Oryctolagus cuniculus: one gene and its partners. The protein of the gene in region 1 purifies or fractionates together with the protein of each later gene. This does not show direct contact. Links are inferred from orthologs where the notes say so. Each region holds a gene or a part of one and is shown in the gene's direction. Other genes may lie near its edges.

Region 1 (3,500 bases):
GAAAAATCAATGTTGTCCAAACTCAAACATGGTATGTTTGCCATTCTTTGTTTCTTTTGATTTCTGAGGGAAAATGTTAGTTTAATTTTTATTCTTTCAGTTGATTACCTCTTTTGTCAGTCACTCTATGTATATGTGATGAAAACATAAATTGTGCAAGCCCATGAGGTTTCTAACCTATTACACGTATCTAGAGCTGTTTGGTTATTTAAAATAAAGCATTCTTCTTATTTTCATTATTTGTATAAAAATTTCCTATTTATCTTATACCTAAATTTAGATAAGATAAGGATTAAAGGGTTTGACTCTGAATTAGGGTGCATACACTTTGGGTTAAGGATTTCTTTTTATTCTTATGAACAGTTATGGATCATATTTCACGCTAAAGTAAATTTTACATTTCATGCTTCCTGTTTTAAGTTCTTTGTTGTTACCCCTTTAAAATATTATAAATATACAAATATCTTATAGAATGTGGAGCTGCTTTCACCAGCAAGCTTGAAGGGATGTTTAAAGACATGGAGCTTTCTAAAGACATCATGATTCAGTTCAAACAGGTAAAAGTGAGTTAAACTCTTACTTAATTCTTTGAACTTAAATATATTTAGTTGTGTCCTTGAGGTGATTTATATTGAAGGGAAAAATAGAACATATTTGTTGTAAATATGTCATAACAACTTAGATGCAACAGTTAAAAAAATGACCAGTGAAATATATTTGACCTAGTTTAGAGTTTATTCTTTTTTAAAAATTTATTTGGGGCCAGCACTGTGGCACAGCAGGTTAAAGCCCTGGCGTGAAGTGCCAGCATCCCATATGGGCTGCTCCTCTTCCCATCCAGCTCTCTTCTATGGCCTGGGAAAGCAGTAGAAGATGGCCCAAGTCCTTGGGTCCCTGCGTACACATGGGAGACCCAGAGGAAACTCCTGGCTCCTGGCTTCAGATTGCCGCAGCTCCAGCCATTGCGGCCATCTGGGGAGTGAACCAGCGGATGGAAAACCTCTCTCTCTGTCTCTACCTCTCTCTGTAACTCTGTCTTTCAAATAAATAAAATAACTCTTTAAAATTATTTATTTATTTGAAAGAATTAGGGAGAAAGAGAGTGATCTCCCATCTGTTGATTCACTCCCCAGAGTAGTCACGACAGCCGGGTCTTGGGCCGCCATCTGCTGCTTTATCAGGGAGCTGGATCAGAAGTGAGCAGCCAGGATTCGAACCAGCACCCACATGGCATGCTGTTACTGCAGATGGTTTAACCTAATACATCTCAGTGTACGTGTTGATCTTCTTATAGTATATGCAGAACCAGAATGTACCTGGGTCTCCCACATGTGTGCAGGGGCCCAAGCACTTAGGCCATGTTCCATTGCTTTCCCAGGCCATTAGCAGGGAGCTGGATCAGAAGTGGAACAGCTTGACTTGAACTGGTGCCCATGTGGGATGCTGGCACCACAGGTGGAGGCTTAACCTACTACACTACAGTGCTGGCCCCCCAAGGGTTTATTCTTAATAAACATGCAAAAATAACAAAAGTAGAAATAAAATGTAAATACCTTTTGGTTTTGCGTGTTCAGAGCTCACAGTGGAGAGGACAGATAGGTGATGAAGTGATTGTACAGAGGCTTTGGGGGAAATTGGGAATGAAAAGCTAAATCTACAGTTCTGAAGATGCAGGTACAAAGTAGTTTGAAATATTTTAAGAACATAGGTGATAGTTGATAGCAAATTAGATTTCCCTCTTATGGGGTTTTAGTAGTAACTTCTTTACCAATGAAAGACTCAAAGAGAAAGATCATGGTCAGTAGGATCATGGATCATGCAGTAGTAGATACAGACAGTATTTATTTGCTTTGCCCTTTCTCCCTGTTCTTCCTCCCCCCATTTTAGGTTACCCCTTGCAAAGCAGGCACTGGAGCAAATGAAAAACTGGAGACTTGGGCTGGCTGGTGGGGTGAGGAAGAGTAGGGTTTGGTTCTGGTGCTCCAAGTTCCCTGCAAAAGTGGGGAATGCAGGTGGTACTGGGGAAAATAATGGAGAAGAGATACTATAATAACCCAGCTGTATGCGAGAAAGTATTTAAGCTGATAATGCTTATCATGAAGTCACGTGATCCTTGTATGCCATTGCATCAAAATGGTGCCCGATGTCTTTATGTAGTACATTTTGTGAAGGCTTGAAGGGTTTATCTAAAGTCCTCTTAATAATTGACTTTTATTTTAAAGATGGTCAGTATCCTTATAATTTTATAGTGGGGAACTTCTCATAAATGGATCGGTAGTAGGACATGAAATGTACATACATTTAAGATCTCAGTGTACGTGTTGATCTTCTTATAGTATATGCAGAACCAGAATGTACCTGGAAATATTGAATTAACTGTGAATATCCTGACAATGGGTTATTGGCCAACGTATGTACCTATGGAAGTCCATTTACCACCAGAGGTAAGAGTTACTATTTAGGACCTCAGTTACAGGCATAGAAATCATAATTCAAATCCTTGTATCAAGCTAATTTCAGTGAAGGTAGTAATACCAAATTTCAGCTGTTTTAGTATTTTACTCTTTAAAATTTTATTTGTTATACAAGTTTCATGTGTTTCATGTAATATTTTACTCTTATATTTATATTCCCAGGTCCAGTTTAGCACACAGCTAATGATGCCAAGTTTCTGTGTTCAGAGCCAGTTTCCCCAACTCTTACATCTCTGCAGATTATATCCCTCATTCCGCCTAGCTAGCAAATATTTTTGCCCATATTTCATCTGTTGGCAGGATTGTTAAATGATGAGTGCTTACTGATTGCATCCAAACTCCTGGGAAAATATCTTGCTCAGGACTTAAGCCTAGAAAAGAGGTAAATGCTAGAGAAAAAGATAATGAAAATTCTCTTTGGAGATGATCATGGAAGTCCAGGAAGTAGATTTCTCTCAGTATGGGGGAGAATGTGGAAAACGTGGCAGAGGCAGAACTTTGGAAAAGGCTCACATTCAGCTGGTGGTAGGAAGAGGAACCTGTGAAGAAAACCAAGCAGCAGCAGTGAGGTAAAGGAACCAGTATAGTGCATGGTGTAGTGTTTCTAAAGAAGGGATGATTAAATGGTATAGAGAGATGTTGATCCATATGAAATAAGTGGTAATAGTAATATTACGTAGTAAGAGTATAGTCTTTGAGATTTCCAGAAGTTATTACACATGAGGTAGGTATAAAGAGTGGTGAATGTGGTACTGGATGTGGAGTTTAAATAAAGCCTTATTTTATTTATTTTAGATGGTAAAGCTTCAGGAGATTTTTAAGACATTTTACCTAGGTAAACACAGTGGCAGGAAACTTCAGTGGCAGTCAACCCTAGGACACTGTGTGCTAAAAGCAGAGTTTAAAGAGGTAAGTGGGTGTTCCCAGAACTTAGTTTTCCTCTTCTTCGTCTTTAATATTAAAGTCATCGCTCTTAACTGGATGGTTTAAGCTGCTGTCTAATAAATGTATTCTAGACAGCTAAAT
Region 2 (3,500 bases), on another chromosome or scaffold:
CCTTTCGCACTCACTTGGAGCTGCAGTGCCCGAGGCCCCTGTGCCTGGCGCTGTGCTCCGCCACCTGCATTTTCTCCTCAGCCTCACGGCGGCCCTAGGCGGGACATTACCACCACCATTTTACAGATGACAGCAGGGGCTCCGAGGGGCCCCCCTGCCGAAGGCCATGCGTGCTCCGTCCCTGCCCCCGTCACGTGTGTCTGACAGTGCCGCTGTGTACTCCTCTGTTGCCCTGTGGCAGCTTCAGCCCCACAGGGCGAACAAGCAGGCTCTGCCAACGGGCCTCTGTGTGGTGATGCGGGGCAGCCCGGCGACGGCTCCTGGGGCTCAGGCAGGGGAACAGGTGCCAGCAGCAGGAGCCAGCATACTCCAGCCTTTGCTTTTTTTTTTTTTTTTTTTTAAGATTTATGTATTTATTTGAAAGTCAGTTACACAGAGAGAGAAGGAGAGGCAGAGAGAGAGTGAGGTATTCCATCCACTGGTTCACTCCCCAGTTGGCTGCAGTGGCTGGAGCTGTGCCAATCCGAGTCCAGAAGCCAGGAGCCTCTTCCGGGTCTCCTACGCGGGTGGAGGGGCCCAAGGACCTGGGCCATCCTCCACTGCCTTCCCAGGCCATAGCAGAGAGCTGGATCAGAAGCGGGGCAGCCGGGACTCGAACCGGCGCCCATATGGGATGCTGGCCCTGCAGGCAGCCCCCAGCGTTTTCTTTTTAAAGGCAGCAGAGCTCTCGTTCAGGTGAAATTGTGCACAGTGCTGTCCCAGTGTGTGCAGCGGTTCAGAGCAGAGCTGATCTCTCTGAAGAGGATTCGAAGGGCACACCCTCACCTGCATGGCCGTCTGTTCCCGTGGTGAGGCCTGAGACATTTCCTCATCTCCCGTCTTTGCTTCACTGGTCTGGAAGCTGAGACTGGAGGCACTGGTACCTGTCTAGGGCTCCGCTGCTACTGAGTCTGAAACGAGGAGTACCCTGGGCCCCGCCCTGTTGGCACAAAGTGAGCCTCCCCAGGAGACTGGCGTAGACCCACTCTGCGGGGTTCTGGGCCCTGACTGGCTCTGGATGTGTGTCTGGCCTCGTACCATGTCTAGGAAGGAGAAGCTGTCCTGAGACGCAGCGGGAGTGCACATGGCTGTGCAGTGTATGGCCGCAGGAGCCCTGGGTGCTCTGGGCTCGGGGAGCAGGAGGGCATCCTCCAGACTCGGAAGACGTCCCTGTGTGTTTTCACCTAGCTAACCTAGCGGAGTGACGCAGCCCCAAGGCCCCTGGCAGCCTCAGGTCTGCCACCGATGCCCTCGTCGTCTTTGTTTGTCTTAGGAGTTTGGTGTGTGATGGCAAGAGGGGCTTATTAACTCGACTGCTGCAGGTCATGAAGAAGGAGCCTGCTGAGTCATCCTTCAGGTGGGTCTGAGGGACGGGTACCTGACCCTTCCGCAGTGAGGGGAGCACGTGTCTCACATGGTCAGTCACCAGCATCCACCCCCGCACAGTGGTCAGCGTCGATTGCCCTCCGGCCCTAGTCGACGCAGATACGTGGGCACCACCCTGCCCATTCACCAGGCTCCTGCTCTGTGTGGCTGCTGGGCAGAGTACCCCGCGCGGATGGGGAACGAGTGTGAGCAGAAACCTCTGAATGTGGTGTGGACATAAGTGGAGCCAGATGCTCGGGGAGCAGAGGAGAGCCCCTTCCCCTGCTGGGGGCTGGCCAGGGACACCTCAGAGTCCAGAGTGGTCTGTGCTGAGCCTTAAGGCTGTGGACAGGAGGGTTCCCAGCAGGGCCAGTGTGAGCACTCGGTAGGCTGTGTTCCATGGGGCCCTTGTTGCCGTGGCCTGCCATGCCCACACTCCCCGACATGGATCCCAGCTCTGACCTCTGGGTCACGTGGTCAGCATCAGCCACCTCCTCACTAGGCAGCCCATCAGCTTCCTCCACTCTTTCCCCTCAGTTCACATCTTCCTGTTCTGGATGGGCAAAGCGTGTCCTCACATGGGACTCACTGCGACCCCTTCCAGAGCCCAGTGCTTCTGTCAGCTCCAGGGGGATGGGGGTTCTGCTGCTCACCGCTGTGTCCCCTAGACCTGGGGTGAGGCCTGCTGCCCGGGGGCTGTTCATTTATTCATGCTGAGTAGATTAAGACGGCAGACATCTCCCCACCCTGGGGACATTGAGTATGAATCAGAAGAGGGCAGCCTTAGCTCCGAGGCCAGCGCTGTGTTTGGGTTGCAGGTTTTGGCAAGCCCGTGCTGTGGAGAGTTTCCTGCGAGGGACCACCTCCTACGCCGACCAGATGTTCCTGCTGAAGCGAGGCCTGCTGGAGGTACGGCTGGAAAGCAGCGGCCGGGCCCCTCTCCCCGCGGCCCCACTGCTGTGCTGTCCTGAGCCTTACGGCTCACTGGGGGCAGACTCGGGCTCTGCTCTGTAAATGCTAATGCAGATTGCCCTAGTGTTTGCCCTGACTTCCAACTGTGGCTTCCCCCTGGGTGCTGGAAGAGTGATGGAGGGACTCGGGTGACCATGCAGGAGGACAAGGGTCTGGAGTTGCCCAGCAAGGCCTTTTGACCCTGAGGATATTTTGATCCGACTGAAAATAATTTTGCTTTATTGACTCATGTCCTTCAGAAAAACATTTACAAAAAGGGAAGATAGAAAAACGGCCAGATTATAGTTTTAGAAAGATATGGACAAGAAACTGGCTCATGAATTTATGTAAAATCCATATGGGAAAGAAAATAGTCCAAATCAGTGTAGCTTCAAGAACATGAAATGTTAAATGTTGGAAACCATTTAACTATCATGGAACACGTCATCAAGGAGGTAAAAATTGGCTTAGCTCTTGATAAAAAACTCATTGCTTTTGGTGTGAGTTTTTAAATGGTTCCATTCATAAACACACAACCACGGGGTCACAGTGTGTCCGGTGCCCTTCCTTTACTTGGGTGGTCACAGTGCCAGGGCAGTGGCTGATGCCAGAAGTGAGATCTGCAGAGCACAGAGCAGGTCAGCCCCAGCTGAGCCTGAGCACGAGAGGGAGGTGTGCCACGCTCCCAGCCCACCGCTCCTGGCCAGGTGCGTCAGCCTGACCTGCGCTTGGTGCCGCCGGCATCCTAGGCCAAGAATCTACGTGCGGCTGAGGTTCCATGGACCGGGTGCTTGCTCAGAACAGATGTGTGGTGTGATCTCTGTGCCAGTCCCTGTAGGAGGCAAGTTGGGGCCGACCCAAGTCCCACCCTGGTCACCCTGTCCCCTTGTCGTGCCCAGCATATTCTGTACTGCATTGTGGACAGCGAGTGCAAATCAAGGGATGTGCTCCAGAGCTACTTCGATCTCCTGGGGGAGCTGATGAAGTTTAATGTTGATGCATTCAAGAGATTCAATAAGTACATCAACACTGATGCAAAGGTAAGGTCAGGCCATGGCTCTCTGAGGGTTGCTGCATTGTCCAGAAGTTACCTTGGAGCCCTTGTCTGCCAGTCTGGAAACTGGAAAGTGCTGGGGACTCTGTGG
Region 3 (4,108 bases), on another chromosome or scaffold:
TCTCCCTTTTACTGGTTTACTCCCCAAACGCTTGCAACTGCCAGGGCTGGCCCTGCTAAAGCTAGGAGCCAGGAACTCAATCTGGGACTCCCAAGTAGGTTGCAGGGTCCCAACTACTTGAGTCATCACCTGCAGTCTCCCAAGGTGTGCATTAGAAGGAAGCTGGAATTGGAAATGGAGCCAGGACTGGATCCCATGCATGTTGACATGGCACACAGACCACCCCAAGTGGCATTTTAACAGTTGCACCAAGTGCCCACCCTCTAGTTTGGTTCTCTTAAAGCCTGGAGGAGAGGGATGTAACAACTTACAGTGCTTTCCTTGCATCATAATTGTCTCCCAATAGACTGGTTTAATTAATACAATACTGGTTTAATAATAAAGACTGGTTTAATTAATACTGGTTTAATAATAAAGACTGGTTTAATTAATTCAAGGCACACAGATAAGCGAATGCAGTTGTTCAAGCAGTTCTCTTACCTTTTAGAAGCATCTTCTGATTTCAAGGCTCTTGTCTGTTTAGTGCCTACAATTTAAGAACTATATATATAGGTCAACTCTACACCAACATATCAGATGCAGCAGACTCCTACCCAAATAACAAACTGTAGCCCACCTTCTCTTTTTCATTTCCAATTATATGTGTAAATCAAAACGCAACTGGAAGGGAAACCAATTTCTTTGTAAATTAACTACTCCCTCATTTTTCTTAGTTACAACGTTATCTCTTTTGGTGACTGAATGGGCTCACGTGTCACAGCTGCTTAATCAAGCACTCCTAAAAATCCGAGATCGGAGTACTTTCTCACAATCCCCCAACCGTTCACTCCCAGGAGGAGAGAGGCGAGTCCAACACCTCCGAGGACAGGTCCAAGGTTTAAGGCAGATTGTATACGCTGCCAACCTCGCCCTGGTCACTCGCCCACCCTGGGGACCCCAGCTCTGGGCTCCCAGAACCCCCACTGCCCTTTCCTTCACACAACCCCCGTATCAAGGGTTCAGCTCCAACGGGGAGATCTTTCCCAAAACGCGCAAGGACTGCGGTGCAAAGCTCTAGGCCTCCTCTGCACCAGACAACCCTCCCCTAGGGCAGTCTTTCGAGAGCACCCACGCGCCTCCGGCCAGAATTCCGTCGGGATCCTGTCCCGGGGCTCCAAACGGGGGAAGAGGGCCCTGTTCCTACCTTTGGCGTTTCGGGAGGCGCGAGGAGCCCGGGCCTTCCGGCCGGGAGAACACGACTCCAGCCAGTCAGCCATGGGAGTCAGCCTTGAGAAAGCCAGGAACCTCCTCCGGCGACTCCCGCCCCCGCGAGGCCCCGCCCCCTACGCACAGCGCGGGGCGGGCCTGCCGCGGCGGGGCGGGGCCGGGGGCGGGGCCGGGAGAGCGACCTGCGCGGCCCGAAGACGAGGTGGTGGAGTGGGTAGAGAAGGCGCGAGGTCTGGCCGGTAGGTGGACGCGCCGAGAGCCGTGGGGCGGCAGGGGCTCGCGGCTGCTGGTGAGCGGCGGAGGACTGGGTGCCGCGGGCCTTGGAGGCCCCCGCTGGGTGGTGGGGCCGGAACGTCTGGGCGAGCCGGAGAAATGGCCTCCTCTGGATGCCGCCCGCACGCGTGCGAGGGTGTTACCGGCCTGTGAGCGCGCTGCCTGAAGACCCTGCTGACCTGCGCCGGCTCTGCGGGCCTGGAGGCGCGGGGCCAGCGACGGTGAGCGGGGGCGGAGCGGTGCCCTGCTCCTGAGCGCTTGCCGGGGCTCGGCGGGGCGGTTTCGCCGGATTGATGACTTTGGGGACTGCAGCTCTCAGACATGGGATGGAGGGCATCTGAGCCTTCACCCTCTCTGGGTGGTTTAGTTGTATTGCACCCTCCCCCCTTTTTTGGTCAACTTTGTATTAAAAAGTAAACAATTGCCGAACAAAATTTTTATTTCAAGTCCGCCTTTTGGAAATACTTTTGTATTTGCCTCGCTTTTTGGGAGTGCTCCTTGGGTTTTTGTTTTTGTTATTTAAGGTATCTGAAAACTATGCTCCTGGAAGATTTAAAAGGTGAATAAGAAAAAAAATGCAAGAGTCTTAAAAAATCGTTGATTTCTTACTATAATTAGTAGTAACATTTCGACTACAAAACTTTGCATTTTCTTTATTGTTTACTAATGTTCATCATAAGTTATGTATGCATGAATACATCAGTGGGATATTACACAGTTAACTGTTTTTCTTAGTACATTTCAGCGACAGAACTAGGATATATAAGGAGAAATGGCTGTAGAGGAACTTCAATCCATAATAAAAAGATGTGTAAGTGATTTTTTTGTCTTTTTGTAAAGTTAAATACCTTTCAAAACACCTAAGGGTATAGATTATTTTTAAATAGTTTTGTGTTTATCTTCTTTAATCCCTGCTCCTTTTGATCTATAAATAGAATGAGGGCAGGAAGGCACATTGGATTATTTCTCCAGGTAACATACTGATCTAAATAACCTTTTCACTGTTAATACTGATCCTTTTCCCTCGGTTTCTTTGGTACAGTGGATTTTGAGATCATTAAAGTACTTAGTTTTTTGTTTTGTTTTTACCAGCAAATACTAGAAGAGCAAGACTTTAAAGAAGAAGATTTTGGCCTATTTCAGATAGCAGGCCAAAGATGCCTAGAAGAAGGGCATATAACCCAGCTCTTAGAAATTATTCAAAATGAAAAGAATAAGGTAAGTTCTATCTTTGTGTTTACTTTTTAGTCTTTATTTGGGAAGAGAATAATCACATGATGCCATTATTCATCCCTTCCTTTATGTATCACACATTTAAGAATCAACTTAAACTTCCACAGTAGGAAACTGTGGAAGACAAAAAAGAAACTAGGAATGTTTCTGTACCTTAAGGTAGATAGAGTCTGGTGCAAGAGAGAAACATGGAGGCAACTAGCAGTAAGGAAGCAGAATAAATGAAAGAAATGCTGGGAAGTCTAAGTGAAGGCTTTACAAGGAGCACTATTACTTCTGGTTTAGGGAGGCAGCTGTGGCATTTTAACTGTTAATTTACATTGAGAAGTAGAAGTAACAGGCTCATTTTTAAGGAGCAGCCCTTTCTCCAGCCGGAGTGGTTATGGAAAGCCAAATTTTAATTAAGCAATATATTACACAAAATATTTTTGTGTATAATGTTACAAGAAGAGAAAGCTGAGTGACCTTACTGACCTTACTGGCCAATATTTTCCCACTGAAATGGTCTAAGACATCATTCTCCACATTGGGAAAGGATCTTGTTTGTGGATCAGGAACAGTTTCTTCCTGGGACACAGTGTTGGGAACACACTGCCAGATTTTCTGTCTTTGGACTCCCCTTCTTGACTCTAGGGAACATTGTGTTCTTTCTAGGAATATGGTCTTTCTTCATTTTAAGTGCTATTTATTTATATGGAAGTTGTCTTTGTTGATATCACAATCTACCAATGCTGGTCTGTGATTCTGTCCAGGGCACATTGATTGGATTTGGGAGATTCCTAAGACTTTGATTGCAAATTGTTGTATAACTTAAATGACTTATCCCTTTTTAATTTTTTATTTTGTTTTTGATATGTGTCTAAAACTTTCTAGCAAAAATAAAGGAAATTTCATGTTTTTTCAAAACTCTTGATTTTTTTTACCAATTAACATTCTCAGAGGATAATCTTGAGTATATGTAGCTTTTATCAAATAACGAAATTAAATAACAGAAGCCGGCGCCGTGGCTCAATAGGCTAATCCTCCACCTTGCGGCGCCGGCACACCGGGTTCTAGTCCCGGTTGGGGCGCCGGATTCTGTCCCGGTTGCCCCTCTTCCAGGCCAGCTCTCTGCTATGGCCAGGGAGTGCAGTGGAGGATGGCCCAGGTGCTTGGGCCCTGCACCCCATGGGAGACCAGGAAAAGCACCTGGATCCTGCCATCGGATCAGCGCGGTGCGCCGGCTGCAGCGGCGGCCATTGGAGGGTGATCCAACGGCAAAGGAAGACCTTTCTCTCTCTGTCTCTCTCTCACTGTCCACTCTGCCTGTCAAAAAAAAAAAAAAAAAAAGAAAAGAAATTAAATAACAGTACTTTTTACTGTGTGCCACATGCTATCCTAAGTAATTTATGTTTAC
Region 4 (4,270 bases), on another chromosome or scaffold:
GGCACGTAAGGGACATTATTTGTTGGTCATAAAACAGATCTCTACCCCTGTGCTCTGTGGGAGCAACGTGGGTGGAGGGCATCCCAAGAATGCTTTCCTTGGTGCAACTCCGGACGCCTGCCTCGTGTCCCCTCCTCAGTCAGCTCATGGCCGGGGGAGCGTGAACTACTAACTTTCCTGGCGGGAGGCCCTACTGGTGTTCCTCCGGATCCACCTCAGCCTGCAGGTGAGCCTTCTGTGCCACACGGCTCTTGACCAAGGCCTACGACAGCTGCTTGTTCTGTCTGCTCTCCTGAGGCCTACTTCCTTTCCCAAAGAAACCGCCCCCACCCCTTCCCCTTAACTCTTCTTTGTGTGTTTGCGCTCAGCAGCAACCAACTCTTCTTTGTGTGTTTGCGCTCAGCAGCAACCGTAAAGAGCCTCCCTCCGTCATGGCCTCCATGCCCGCCTGGCAGATCCGGAAGCAGGACTGACCCTGGTTTTGTTGCTTAAGGGGTTGATCTGATTGAGGTCTGCAGCTCCCCTCAGTTACTCTTGGCTGGATTGTGCTCCTGTAGAGAGGAAGGCTCTGTCAGTCTTAGAGCTGGGTAGACATTCAGGACCTTAGTAGCCCCCTTATTCTAGGTATTGTGCAGAGCAGGGCTTTTTTTAAAAAAATATATTTATTTATTTTTATTTGAAAGAGTTACACAGAGAGAGGAGAGGCAGAGGGGGAGAGCAAGGGGTCTCCCCTCTGATGGTTCACTCCCCAATTGGCCGCCATGGCCAGAGCTGCGGCGATCGGAAGCCAGGAGCTTCTTCCGGGTCTCCCACGCGGGTGCAGGGGCCCAAGGGCTTGAGCCATCTTCTACTGCTTTCCCAGGACATAGCAGAGAGCTGGATCGGAAGTGGAGCAGCCGGGATTAGAACCGGCGCCCATTTGGGATGCCGGCGATTCAGGCCAGGGTGTTAACCCGCTGCAGCACAGCGCCGGCCCCCGCAGGGCTTTTCAGTGCAAAAATTATTAACCGGAGTCCTTAGACTCCCGGGCTGAGCAGGCTGTGCGCCACGCCGCTTACCCTGGGTGACCTGCACATAATGCGATTATTCCCCACCCGCCCTCGCTGCCCCCAGTAGAGGAGACGCCAGTCCGTAATCCTGCCCAGCCTCTGGCCTGCCCGGTGGCCTCCTCGTCCCCAGGCATGCAGCCACCAGGCTCTGGCAACTACAGACCGCCTTTCAGCATCGGTCGCCCGCTCCAACGTACAGCTGGCAACCCGGCTTCGGTTCTCAGGGCCGCGGCGGTGCCTCTGCTTTCCCGGTCCCCGGCGCACGGCAGCCGGCTGGGCGCGGCGGGGCGCGGCTGGGCGGGGCGGGTTTCCTAGTCGGCGGAATTAGGCCGCCGCACCCGGAAGTAGCGGCAGGAGAGGGAGCGCTGAGGTGTCGGCAGGCGGGACTGCGGCCGGGAGCCGGGGACGGGGGGCGTTGGTCATGTTTCCCTTCGGGCCCCGTAGCCCCGAAGGGGACCAGGCGGAGGAGCTGACGCCCCACGGAAGGCAAGCGGCAGCCGGCGGGCCGCCCTCTCCTCCCCCGCCCGCGCCGCCGCAGCCCGGGGCTGACTCAGGCTCGCCCCCGCCGCCCGCCCGGAGCCCCCGCCGGCCCGGCGCCCCCTTGCTGTCCCCGGCGGCGCGCGCTGGCGAGCTCGGGCCGGCCGGAGCGCTGGAGTCCTCAGCCGCCTCCGCCGAGGGAGAGCCGTCACCGCCCTCCTCTCCGCGCCGGCGCTCCGGGCCGGACTGCAAGGCCGGGAGCCGGGGCTGGCACGGCCTCTGCGCCGGCCTGGGCGGCCCCGGCGCCAGACTGTTCGGGTGGCTGAGAGAGCGCAGCCTGGGCCGCGGGCTGTTCGTGGACCCGGCGCGGGACAATTTCCGCACCATGACGAACCTCTACGGTTCCATCCACCCGGCGGACTCGGTGTACCTCAGCACTCGCACGCACGGTGCCGTCTTCAACCTCGAGTACTCGCCCGACGGGTAAGCGCGGCCTCTCGCAGGCTTGCCCACCTGGAGGCCTGGGGAGGGGAACGCTGGGGGAGGGGCGCCCGGCAGGTGTGCGGGAGCTAGGCCAGGCGGTGTCGGGGCAGACGTTTCCAATGCGTGCGCCTACTGTCCCTGTGCTCCTGGGCTTCGCTTTCTCGCTGAAGCTCGCTCGTGTCCAGGGTGTGGAGCCTGCAGATTCCCTGCACCTGGTGCCGGGGCTGGCCGTGGGGGCGCGAGTGTGATGAGTTCCTTGGCTCCAGCAGGAAGCCAAGACACTGCCGGGAAGCCTTGTGAAGTCCCCTGGCCGGACGACAGGCTTCTGTTAAGGCTGTCCGGCCTTTTTCTTGGCTGATGAAATATTTTATGCGTGGCCCTGGTGTGCTTTTGGCTGTGGGGTATTTTCCAAATAACAGGAGCCTTCTCTGTGTATTTAAAACCGCGGGTTAGGCTGCTGTTTACAACGCCGGCGTCCCATATCCGAGCACCAGTCCGGCATTTCCGCTTCCCAGCCAGCTCCCTGCTAATGCGCCTTGGGAAGCCAGCAGAGATGGACCCGAGTGCTTGGGCCCCTGCCCGCGACGTCAGAGATCGGGTTGCGTTCTGGTCTCCTGGCTTCACTTGGGGCTGGGTTGCTGCCACTGGGGAGTGAACCAGCTGTGGAAGCGCTGTATCTCTCCTTTTCCCCGTTCCCCCGACCCCTTTCTGTTGTTGTGCCTTTCAAGGAAAGAAAGAAATCTTCAAACAAACAAACAAAACAACTCTGTCCTGTGAAGAAATGTGAAAGCGGCCAAAGGAGCAAATGTGTATACAGGAGGCATAATTATAATTCTTAGCCTATCAAGGCCTCTGGTTTGCTAGTTATTCGCTTGGTTGCTCGTTCATTCCTTTATTCAACAAATACCTGTTGAGCGCTGCTTTGTTCCAGATGCAGGGGTAACAGTGGTGAGCAAAACCAGCTAATGGCACTGCTGTCATCGACTTTGGGACCTATCAGATAATCTTAGAAAATAACACATAATGTATGTTTACAAGCAGAGATAAAAGCTGGAGGCAACCTCTTGTGGACTGTGGTGCTTGAGGCTTCCCTGAGAAAGTGACACTTGAACCCCTAGGAGAGAAGTGCGTTCAGATAGGGTTGGAGAGGGGATAAAAGTATTTCAGCTAGAGACTGGTGTAGCTGAGGACCCGTGGTAGGGGAGAGGCAGTGTCAAGTTAGAGAAGCTGAGAAAGGCTAGGGTTATGAAGCAAAAATTGTAGAGAAACACCTAAAATAGCCAAGGAACAGAGTCAGAAATTGTTGTAAGCAGGCTGGTCTTAGCGCCATTTCGCTAACGCAGATGCGGCCTAGTCACATCCTGTGCGAGGTTCCCTGGCACTTCTCTTTCTTGGGGTTGGGTGCACAGCATAGGAGCGGACGCGTACTGATTAAGGCAGACAGTTGGTGGGAAGAGAAAGGTAATTCCGTTGAAGCTTGTGCATGGAACCTTCTCTCTTCCTTCCTCTAACCAACCTCTTATTCAAGGTCTCCTAAAACACCAGGAATCTCCCCCTTATTCGTTCCCTTTCCTCTCCGTGTCCTGTCCCCTCTCCTCCCATCCTATGCCTGTACTTCCAGGACAGGAGAAGGTAACTGCTTCTGTTCTTTGGAGGTGAGATTTTAGGCTGAGGATAGGAGAAGCAATGAGTTATGAAGAAGGAATTCAAATTGCAGGTATTCTGGTACTTAAAATGAAAAAATTCAATAATTTAAAATTATACAATATATGTTTATTGTGGAAAATTTAGGCAACAACAGAACAAAAAGTAGCTTAGTGCCACTTATAATCCTAGAGACTGAATAAATTGCAGACACTTTTTGTGTTTATTTTAACGTACATAGAATCATCTTGTTTTAAGTAGCTAAATGCCACTTATAATCCTAGAGACTGAATAAATTCCAGACACTTTTTGTGTTTATTTTAACGTACATAGAATCATCTTGTTTTGTAGCCTTTTTTTCTCATAGTTTTTATGAGCTATTTGTTAATATATTTTTAAAGATTTATTTATTTATTTGAAAAACTTACAGAGAGGTAGAGGGAGAGAGAGGTCTTCCATCTGCTGGTTCACTCCCCAAATGGCCGCAATGGCCAGAGCTAAGCCGATCTGAAGCCAGGAACCAGGAGCTTCTTCTTGGTCTCCCACACGAGTGCAGGGGCCCAAGGACTTGGGCCATCTTCTACCTTCCCAGGCCATAGCAGAGAGCTGGATCAGAA
Region 5 (2,109 bases), on another chromosome or scaffold:
TCACCACAGCCGCTGCCCACGACGGGGACGTGAACGTCATCAGCTGGAGCCGCCGGGAGCCCTTCCTGCTCAGCGGCGGGGACGACGGGGCGCTCAAGGTCTGGGACCTGCGGCAGTTCAAGGTACCTCCCGGAGCAGCCGCTGGGCCTGCGGGTTCCCCCTCCGTGCTCGGGCGGCCGGCCGGCGCGGGGCCAGCCCCTCCTGGGGTGGGTGGGGAGGCTGACGCTCGGGCAGAGGAAGGGTCCTGGTGGCTGTGAGGTCTCTGACGAGGGATGAGAGACCACGAGACTGCAGCTCCCATCTGCCCATGGGGCAGAGGTGCAGCCGCTGTGCGGCCCACGACTCAGGGCCCCTGGGAACTCTAGATTGGTCCTGTGGTGGACTGAGAGTGGGAACCCAGCTCACTCGCTGCAGGGGAGGAGGCGCGGCACAGCGAGGACAGGAGCAGGTGCGACGTGACAGCCCGGCGAAGCGCTGACCTGTAGAGCAGAAAGAGGCTCTGGCAGGAGCAGCTGCAGCCTGTGGGGTCCCTGTGCACGGAGCCATAGCTTCCCGGAGCCCGAGCTCTTCCGGGGCGGCCGGGTCATCTGTTTCCCTGCAGCTTAGCCGCTTCTGTGGACTCAGCCTGGGCTGGCTCCTGGAGGTGATGACGGTGGCCCTCTGCAGCCAGTCCTCCTTCAGGTCCCAGCAGCACCTGGGACCCCTGTCCCGGTTGGCTGCCTCTGGAGCTCCCAAAGTGGGGCCTTCACAAAGTCAGGGGAGAGCCCTGGGGGAACATTGTCTAGACGAGGGAGCCGGCACGCACCCAGGGAGGAGAGGGGGGGCTTCCTCCAGGCCTCATCACAGATTGTGGGTGGTGAGGTGCGGGGTCCCGCTGAACCCCGAGGCTGAGCCGTCTGAGCCCCTGACTCCATCCTTGCCCGCAGTCTGGCTCCCCGGTGGCCACCTTCAAGCAGCATGTGGCCCCCGTGACCTCTGTCGAGTGGCACCCCCAGGACAGCGGGGTCTTTGCTGCCTCCGGCGCCGACAACCAGATCACGCAGTGGGACCTGGCCGTGGAGCGGGACCCCGAGGCCAGGGAGGCGGAGGCCGAGCCCGGGCTGGCGGACCTCCCCCAGCAGCTGCTGTTCGTGCACCAGGGCGAGACCGACCTGAAGGAGCTGCACTGGCACCCGCAGTGCCCCGGGGTCGTGGTCAGCACCGCCCTGTCCGGCTTCACCATCTTCCGCACCATCAGCGTCTGAGGCGGGCCGCGGCCTCTGCCGTGCCCTGCTCAGGAGCCGCTCGTGCCGCCTGTCGGCTGCCCCTCCGAGAAAAGGGCTGAGATGGACGCTGGCCCACACCCGCACCTGGCGGGGCCTGGCGGGCCCGGCGTGGCCTGTGAGCCCTGGGCTTTGGCACCTGGTCTTCCCCAGGGACCTCAGGGGCCTGACAAAGGCCGGACCAAACCCGAGCTGTGGGCTCCTCCAGCGGACTCTGGTCCCACCCTTGTCTTCCGGCCGCTGGGTTTGGCCAGGATTTCCCAGCAGGGGGCTGCGTGGGGCCCTCCCCTCTCTGAGCCGCAGGGCAGGGGCTCCCGAGATGCAATAAAGGACCAGACAGGCCCGGAGGGCGTGTGAGGCTCCGACCGCCTGGCGAGGCAGGAAGTCGGTCCCCAGCTGTCCCCAGGGGGTCCCCGCTGTGTGTGCTCCAGCCCCCACGCGGCAGGGGCCACGCTCTGTTGTGTTCCATCTGGGACTCAGCAGTCAGAGGGTCTCGTCCCATGCCCCCACTTAGGCTTCGTTCCAGGGGACCCCTCAGCGATGTCCCCAGCTCCTCCTCTCTTCCTGATCAGCGTCCCTGGCCTTCCGTGCCTCCCTGCCCCCACCTGTGCCTCTCCAGCCTGCTGGGCTGCCGCCCAGCTGCCTGCCTGGCCGTCCTCCCTGGCTCCCCCTCTGCGGCGCTGCTGGCCACACCCCCTGCCCCCTCCATCCAGGCCTCTGATCCGCCTGTGGACTCAGAGGTCGCGGGCGCCCGGCACAGGCCCCTGGGGCCGAGGACAGACCGCAGCCCCCGGGCCCCCAGAGGCCTCCCCCAGCCTGAGCAGCAGAGCCCCCCCAGGGCATGGGG
Region 6 (3,500 bases), on another chromosome or scaffold:
TCAGAGCTTCTGTGGCCTGAATACAGAATGAAAGGAATCTAGAAATTCAACGTGTGTGTCACTCTTTGCTTCATTTCCTACTCTTCTATAGGAAGAGTCCATCTGCAGTGAACAGACCCAAAACACTGGAGTCTTAATGAGAATTCTGCAATAGGCAGGTAATCAGAAGGAAGTCAAAAGGGGCCAGTGAATCCTTTCTTGATCATAAACTATTGTCTTGCATTCTGTTCCAGAGAGATGCAGGGCTGAATGCCCTCTCCCAGGCCAGCACTTGTCCGTTCTTCAAAAGCACTCTGCAGGCCAGTTTGCTTTCAGCTCAGCCAATACCAGGGTTTGATGATTAATCCAGGTGCTCAGGGTGGGGAGGGCATCTACTTGGGATGGGTGGGTCCCAGGCCTGAGTTTTAGTGGTCCTATGAATGAGAGACTAGAACAAGAGATAAGTGATTTTTCTTACTTGTTCTTGCCGCTGTGTGAGCTGAAAGATCCATGTGGTGCTCATCTGGCTCCCTGTTGTTTTTGTCCTAATCTTCCAGCGCTGGAGGTCCCCAGGCACCAGCTTCAGTGTAGCCTATGCAGCGGTTCTATATCATAGAGTGTTAGAACCAGAAGGAATCTCAGCAGTTATGTCCACCTTGCCCAGGTCTCCTGACTCTTACTGTGGGGTCTGTCCTTTGTTCCCATTCAGCTTCACAGGGACAAGGGTGGGGGATGACGTCAAAGGACAACTCCTTATTCTCCCAAGAGCACTTTGATACGTCGTCCCATTCCCTATATTCCTCCAGCCCCAGTCATCTAAGGCCAGAGCTCTTTTCTCTGCTCAGGCATATTGACAGGATAAGTCCTGGCATTCAGACAGGTCTGGTGAAGTGACCAGGTACCCTGGCCCGGAAGTTCTCTGTCGGCTTCCCCTGCAGGCTCCAACTCAGGTACTGTATGTAATTTATTCTCTTGCTCCTCTTGCCATTGGCTTTGTCCTTAGTCTTAAATCCTAAGGAATTGTTCCCCTGTACTTTATTTTGCTAACTTGTTCACACAGAGCTAGCTCAGAGTACAGGTCTATAGCAAGGGCTTATCAGGAGATGGATTAGTATGTTCAGGGTTTTTTGTGTATGTTTTCATGTATCTTTTGATAATATTTTCAGGCAATGGAGTTTCTTTCTACTGCCTAATCACGCTCCAAAAGCACTGCCTAAAAAGCCCAAATGCAATGAGCTTTGCAATGAGCTGAAATAGGAATTGGGGGAAGAAGTAAAAGAATGGGATTTCAACTTTATTCTTGGGCTCAGACTTAGATTCAGTCTTTGCTGACCTTTGTTTGTTCATTTGTAAAATAAAAATTAAAGAAGTTTACAGGTCTGTAGGTCAGCTTTATTTTTCATGCCTGCCCCCTTGCAGAGGAGGTTGGTTCAGAGAGAACCAAAGGAAGCTTCTTGTCAGGGGCTGTTTTCTTGAACTGCAGGGCAGCTGTAAGGCAGAGTGCCTTTCCTATCTTCCTCATCTGGCTAAAAGCCGAAAATACTTTAGCAGCTAGGCTGGGACTAGATCTTCCCGTGGGATAGGAATTGCCCTGCCCTATTGGAGAAGCTCATGTTTCCAAGTCAGACAGCAGGGGGCATATGTGCTTTCAGACGTGAGGAAGTTGCTTAAGCCAGAAGGCCTGCCTGCGATAGTTCTTTCTCCTATTGAGGGAATGTAATCAGAAGATAGCTGAAACTGATGCTGTGAGGGTGCCCAGGAAGCCCCCTTGGTATATTGTGCTGCCCTATAGCTGAGATATATATTGTGCTTTGAGAGCAGGTCGCAAAATGCTGTCCTCTGGGACATGCAGGTTTTTCAAGCAAACATGAGCCTTCATCAATGCCTTAACCCACAAGCTCAGCCTCCTCTTACCAACCTGTGCCTTCCTGCAGTTCTAGTAAACAGTGCCAAGTGAATGTAATTGTTGTCTGACTGTTCTGGGGGCTCAGTGGCAACTGCTGCTTTCTTCATTTTTAAAAATGTATTTGCCACTCAGTGAAAGCCACTGAGATGGGTTTTTTTTTCCAGCGTTGGGCTAGTTGGAGCTTTGGAATCTGGAGATAGTGAGGTCATCTGAACTTCATTGCCTTCTTGTGAAGCTAGCAGTAAGCTTTGGCCAGTCACTCACCTATATCTAGGCCTGTGTCTGGGGATAAAGCCATCCTAACCTATACATAGGAAATGATAGAAGGGCCTAATCTATTCAGTCTGTGTGCAGTATTTCCTCTGTCCACAGGGCCATTTGGCCCAGGCTTAGGACAAGCGGGCCTGCCTTTACAGCAGCTGCCTCAGCCCTGATCAAGGGCAATTGTTTGACTCAAGGTGAGTAGTGATTGTAAAGCTCTATTCCCCTACCCCTGACCCTTTTTTTTTTTCTTTTCTTTTCTTTTCTTTTCTTCTGACTAGGTAAACTGTCTTGAGCCCCACCCTCACCTTCCTGTGCTGGCTACCAGTGGCCTAGATCATGATGTGAAGATCTGGGCACCCACCGCTGAAGCCTCCACTGAGCTGACAGGGTTAAAGGATGTAAGTGGTGGATTACAAATGCTCTTTTCTTCCTGCTTACCCACATACGGTTACTCTTCATGGTCATGGGAAGGAATAGCTCGGCTCCCAGTTGTTTAAAGGCATTGCTCTAACATCCTCCCCTACATTCCTGTCATTGCATCTGTAAGAATGCTCCTGCTCCAGGGGGCAGCTCTGCAGTGCCTCTGGTTGGCAGTAGGAATGGGGGTAGGGAACCTCTTCTGGAAGAATTACTCAATTTTAAGGCTTTACCTCAGTAGCTGAACTGAGGGCATCCTTTCCTAATCTAATCTAGCTCAAGCTCAGCTTAATGACACCTCAGGGAAACTTTTAAAGGAATAGACCATCAGCTTCCTTAATCAAGTCCAGGGTTCCTGTTCATTGTTGGTTCCTTCCCCTAACCCATTTGGGTCTAGGTGATTAAGAAGAACAAGCGAGAGCGGGATGAAGATAGCTTGCACCACACTGACTTGTTCGATAGCCACATGCTCTGGTTCCTCATGCATCACCTGAGACAGAGACGTCATCACCGGGTAAGCCGGGGTTGGAAGTGAGCTCCTAAGGCAGTTGCCTTCTCAAGAGACCTAAAAAGTGCCAGTACACACCTCCTCACCACTTAAAGGAGGAATCAGGTGGTCTTAGTTAGGTTCCCTATCCATTGTCCCTATCCCCATCAGATCCCTAATAGAGCCTTCAAGGAGCCACAGCGGAAAGGGGTGGAGTCTGCTCATATTCTTCATTGCCATACATGCATAGTGCTGTATGCATAAAGGCAAAGTCAGGAGGGTGGGAGGGGAGTTGAGAAGAAATAAATTTCAGAGTGACCCTTCTTTTTTTCATACCATGCCAGAAGAGGCCTTGGGCAGTGGTCAACATGTTGGTGGTTGGCCTGCTGGTTTTGTAAATAAAATTTTATTGGAATGTAGCCACACTCATTGTATGTATACCTGTGG
Region 7 (3,500 bases), on another chromosome or scaffold:
CATCTGCTTGTTTACTCCTCAGATGGCTGCAGCAGCTAGAGCTGTGCTGACCTGATGCCAGGAGCTTCTTCCGGGTCTCCCACGTGGGTGCAAGGTCCCAAGTACTTGGGCCATCTTCTACTGCTTTCCCAGGCCATAACAGAGAGCTGGATCAGAAGTGGAGCAGCCAGGACTCGAACCAGTGCCCATGTAGGATGCCAGCACTGTAGGTGGCGGCTTTACCCACTACACTGCAGTGCTGGCCCCAGCTTTCTTGTTTCATTTATTTGAAAGGCAGAGTTACAACAAGAGGGAGAGACAGATTTTCCATGTGCTTGTTCACATGGCTGCAATGGCCAGGAGCTGGAACTCCGTCTGAGTCTGCCACGTGGGTGGCAGGGGTCCAGTTACTTGGACTGTCTTCCACTGCTCTCCCAGGCACGTTACTTGGGAGCTGGATTAAAAACGGAGCAGGTGGGTTTTATATGGGATAGAGCATCCGGAACCCATATGGGGTGCTGGCCACAACCCCAGCCCCTCAGTTTTTATTTCTGTTTTAAATTTTTCAAAATAAAAGTTGGGAGAATAACAAGCAGAGACATGACCATTAGAAAGTAACTTAAGCTTCTGAGGAAAGGGGCACTGCAGAACGGATGGGGACTTCAAAAACTTCACTGGAAAATGGAATTGAAAGATAATTTTTTTGGTGTAAAAAAATCTGAAATCCATGCATATGAGAAATCGTCAGAAATTCATGGAAATTCATGTTAGAAAAACACTACTCATGGATCAGAAATTTTTTTGCACTAAAATAATATCTTTTAATTTCATTTTCCATGAACTTTTTGAAGTACATGCAAAGGATGCTTTTAGAAAGTTTTTTTTTTTTTTCTGTTGAGGAAAGTAACTCATCAGTGCCACCTGTGAAGTATCTCCTCCTTCCTTCCTTTACATCCTGTAAACCATTTCGTGTGGGTGCAGAGGTTGAAAATCAAACCGATGTTCTAGGAAGCTCCCTCCAGATCGCTGTCTGTCTCCTTACGTCCTCCGCAGTGTGTTTAGATATGCTTGTCTTTAGAAGGGACTGCAGGAGGGCTGAGAGCCTTGGCTCAGGGCGTGTTGGAAGAAGTCCCTACAGGGTGCTGGGAGGCCACTGGGAGGGAGGTCTCTGGGCCCTCCGCAGCTAAGGCTGGCGTTCTGCTCGGCAGGTGTGACGGCTGTGAAGCGGTTCTGCTCGGCATCGAGCAGCAGGTCCTGAGAGCCAACCAGTACAAAGAGAACCACAACCGGACTCAGCAGCAGGTGGAAGCAGAGGTAAGGGGGCGGAGTGTTTGAGCCTCTCTCCAGGAGTACCTGGCTTCCTTTTTTTTTTGGTGTTTTTGTTTTTTATGTGAGTGTTGGTGTAGGTTAAAGAAGCAGTTAACCAACAAGCAGGCACTGGGCCTGGTGCTGGGACACAGGGATGAGTGGGATATAGTTCCCGCCCTGAGCACTGTCAGCCTCCCTTCTGATTCCTGATTGGCAGAGGATGAGCAGGCCGGCCGAGCAGAGGAGGTTGGAGTTTCACAGAATACCTGCACTTTGCAACTGTAGCACCAAAAAAAAAAAAAAAAACAAAAAACGAGTCTGGGGGATGGATCTTAAAAATGGACAAAAGAGGGGCTGTGGTTGTGGTATAGTGAGTAAAAGCCACCGCCTGTGGCACTGGCATCCCATGTGGGCACTAGTTCAAGTCCCGGCTGTTCCACTTCTGATCTGGAGGACTTATTTATTTTCATTTGAAAGTTACCCAGAAAGAGGAAGAGACAGAGGGAGAGAGATCTTCTATCCGCTGGTTCACTCCCTAAATGGCCACAATGGCTGAGGTTGGGCCAGGCCAAAGCCAGGGGTCAGGAGCTTCCTCTAGAAATCCCAGGTGGGTGCAGCAGCCCAAGCAGTCCGGCCATCCTCTGCTGCTTTCCTAGGCACAATAGCAGGGAGCTGGATTGAAAGTGGAGTGGCCGGCTCTCGAATCTGCACCCATATGGGATGCCAGCTTTGCAGGTGGTGGCTTTACCCACTACACCACAATGTCGGCCCCTCAAATAAATAAGTAAATTTTTAAAAAATGGACAAAAGGAAGGTTGGCATTTGGTGAAGTGGTTGCTGGGACACCTGCATCTCATCAATGAGTGCTTGAGTTTGAGTCCTGGCTCAGCTTCTGACTCGGGCTTCCTGGGAAGCAGTGAGTGATGGCTCAAATACTTGCTTCGTGCTACCCGTGTGAGTGGTATGGATTGAGTTCCTGGCCGCTGGCTTCAGCCTGACTCAGCCCCACCTGGTGCAGGCATTTGGGGAACAAACTGTGGAATGGAAAATCTCTCTGTCTCTCTGCCTTTCAAATAAATAAAAACAAAAACAAATATATTTTTTAAGATAGGAAGATGGTGGGTACCAGGTACAGTGGAGGGAGGGGTGCAGGTAAGCAGGGGTATGTGGGCTTCAAGGCCTTGGTAGGGTTCTGATTTTTTTTTTTTTTTTTAAGATTTATTTATTTATTTGAAAGGCAGAGTTAGAGAGGGAGAGACAGAGAGATATCCATCTGCTGGTTCACTCCCTATGTGACTGGGCCAGTCCACAGCTAGGAACCAGGAGCTTCTTCCAGGTCTCCCACTTGGGCCATCCTCCACTGCTTTCCCAGGTGCATTAGGAGGGAGTTGGATGGCAAGTGGAGCAACTGAGGACACAAGCCAGCACCCACATGGGATGCCAGTGTTGCAGTTGCTGGCTTCACCTGCTACACCACAATGCTGGCCCCAGGGTCCTGATTCTTAAGTGGTGAGGCAAGTGTATAGCCTTCTCTCTGCCCTAAAGAAGGAGAGTTTGTAATGTATGGGTATGTATTATGAACTTTAAAAAATCATGAATAAAAGCAAAAACATTGGGTAGTTGAGACTCAGTGAAGGTACGCAGGTGGGAATGGTTTTAGTGACATCTGGGTGTTCAGGACATTTTTTTAGCCTCTTGGATGTGTGCAGACTTCAGCCTTTATGTACTGGGTGCTTGTTTGTGCGCCTGTAGCCTGACAAGTGCAGTGCCCTCAGAATTTGTTTGGAACCCTTACCATCAGAAGCTTTGATCATTATCAGTAGTGGAAATCCTTTTCTAATGTGGATGGGCTGTACGTGTTAATGGTGTTTCATGAGCTTTTACAAATCAGTTGTCCGAGAGTGTGGCAAAGAGAGGCCTAGAATTGCAGCTAAGGAGCATAAGAAGTGAGTGTGAGACTTGGAGAGTTCCCCTGCCCCTTGGAAATGCAACCTGTGTCTTACTTGTCTTTGTAAATCCAGCTCCTTGTCCCACGCCTCAGCCATGCGCAGTACGCACTCAGATGCTGCACTGAATATTCCCGGTACACCAAAGAGGGTGTCAGCGGCCTGCCGGACTGGGTTCTTCATGGACTCAAGCGCATTTATTTTGAATCCACCCCCCCCCCCCATATATATGCTCTGTGGGTGTTTGGTCTATAGTGCATTTTTGTT

What was found.
Region 2: the proteins of CUL4B (region 1) and TRPC4AP purify together in Homo sapiens (affinity purification with mass spectrometry; 4 studies listed by BioGRID and IntAct, counting the BioPlex papers as one, with this or other methods). This does not show direct contact. The link is inferred for Oryctolagus cuniculus from reciprocal best matches to the Homo sapiens genes CUL4B and TRPC4AP.
Region 3: the proteins of CUL4B (region 1) and GLMN purify together in Homo sapiens (affinity purification with mass spectrometry; 3 studies listed by BioGRID and IntAct, counting the BioPlex papers as one, with this or other methods). This does not show direct contact. The link is inferred for Oryctolagus cuniculus from reciprocal best matches to the Homo sapiens genes CUL4B and GLMN.
Region 4: the proteins of CUL4B (region 1) and DCAF10 purify together in Homo sapiens (affinity purification with mass spectrometry; 4 studies listed by BioGRID and IntAct, with this or other methods). This does not show direct contact. The link is inferred for Oryctolagus cuniculus from reciprocal best matches to the Homo sapiens genes CUL4B and DCAF10.
Region 5: the proteins of CUL4B (region 1) and GRWD1 purify together in Homo sapiens (co-immunoprecipitation; 4 studies listed by BioGRID and IntAct, with this or other methods). This does not show direct contact. The link is inferred for Oryctolagus cuniculus from reciprocal best matches to the Homo sapiens genes CUL4B and GRWD1.
Region 6: the proteins of CUL4B (region 1) and DCAF8 purify together in Homo sapiens (affinity purification with western blotting; 7 studies listed by BioGRID and IntAct, counting the BioPlex papers as one, with this or other methods). This does not show direct contact. The link is inferred for Oryctolagus cuniculus from reciprocal best matches to the Homo sapiens genes CUL4B and DCAF8.
Region 7: the proteins of CUL4B (region 1) and COPS7B purify together in Homo sapiens (affinity purification with mass spectrometry; 6 studies listed by BioGRID and IntAct, counting the BioPlex papers as one, with this or other methods). This does not show direct contact. The link is inferred for Oryctolagus cuniculus from reciprocal best matches to the Homo sapiens genes CUL4B and COPS7B.

Annotation. Positions count from the first base shown.
Region 1 is NC_091453.1:98,262,894-98,266,393, reverse strand, and holds part of CUL4B (cullin-4B), read left to right. Parts: coding exon 1-31; intron 32-471; coding exon 472-563; intron 564-2,336; coding exon 2,337-2,444; intron 2,445-3,269; coding exon 3,270-3,383; intron 3,384-3,500.
Region 2 is NC_091442.1:23,131,543-23,135,042, forward strand, and holds part of TRPC4AP (short transient receptor potential channel 4-associated protein), read left to right. Parts: intron 1-1,312; coding exon 1,313-1,396; intron 1,397-2,222; coding exon 2,223-2,313; intron 2,314-3,254; coding exon 3,255-3,395; intron 3,396-3,500. UniProt on the Homo sapiens protein: Substrate-recognition component of a DCX (DDB1-CUL4-X-box) E3 ubiquitin-protein ligase complex required for cell cycle control.
Region 3 is NC_091438.1:78,327,673-78,331,780, forward strand, and holds the start of GLMN (glomulin), read left to right. Parts: upstream 1-1,308; 5' UTR 1,309-1,445; exon of another isoform or gene 1,446-1,700; intron 1,701-1,901; exon of another isoform or gene 1,902-2,038; intron 2,039-2,214; 5' UTR 2,215-2,251; coding exon 2,252-2,290; intron 2,291-2,571; coding exon 2,572-2,697; intron 2,698-4,108. Other genes in the region: putative RNA polymerase II subunit B1 CTD phosphatase RPAP2, read right to left, coding at 481-526, 1,184-1,256.
Region 4 is NC_091432.1:200,636,598-200,640,867, forward strand, and holds the start of DCAF10 (DDB1- and CUL4-associated factor 10), read left to right. Parts: upstream 1-1,470; coding exon 1,471-2,009; intron 2,010-4,270. UniProt on the Homo sapiens protein: May function as a substrate receptor for CUL4-DDB1 E3 ubiquitin-protein ligase complex.
Region 5 is NC_091449.1:8,607,584-8,609,692, reverse strand, and holds the end of GRWD1 (glutamate-rich WD repeat-containing protein 1), read left to right. Parts: coding exon 1-122; intron 123-926; coding exon 927-1,244; 3' UTR 1,245-1,609; downstream 1,610-2,109. UniProt on the Homo sapiens protein: Histone binding-protein that regulates chromatin dynamics and minichromosome maintenance (MCM) loading at replication origins, possibly by promoting chromatin openness.
Region 6 is NC_091438.1:38,706,758-38,710,257, forward strand, and holds part of DCAF8 (DDB1- and CUL4-associated factor 8), read left to right. Parts: intron 1-91; coding exon of another isoform or gene 92-154; exon of another isoform or gene 155-261; intron 262-2,427; coding exon 2,428-2,547; intron 2,548-2,963; coding exon 2,964-3,080; intron 3,081-3,500. UniProt on the Homo sapiens protein: May function as a substrate receptor for CUL4-DDB1 E3 ubiquitin-protein ligase complex.
Region 7 is NC_091434.1:7,526,579-7,530,078, reverse strand, and holds part of COPS7B (COP9 signalosome complex subunit 7b), read left to right. Parts: intron 1-1,187; coding exon 1,188-1,293; intron 1,294-3,500. UniProt on the Homo sapiens protein: Component of the COP9 signalosome complex (CSN), a complex involved in various cellular and developmental processes.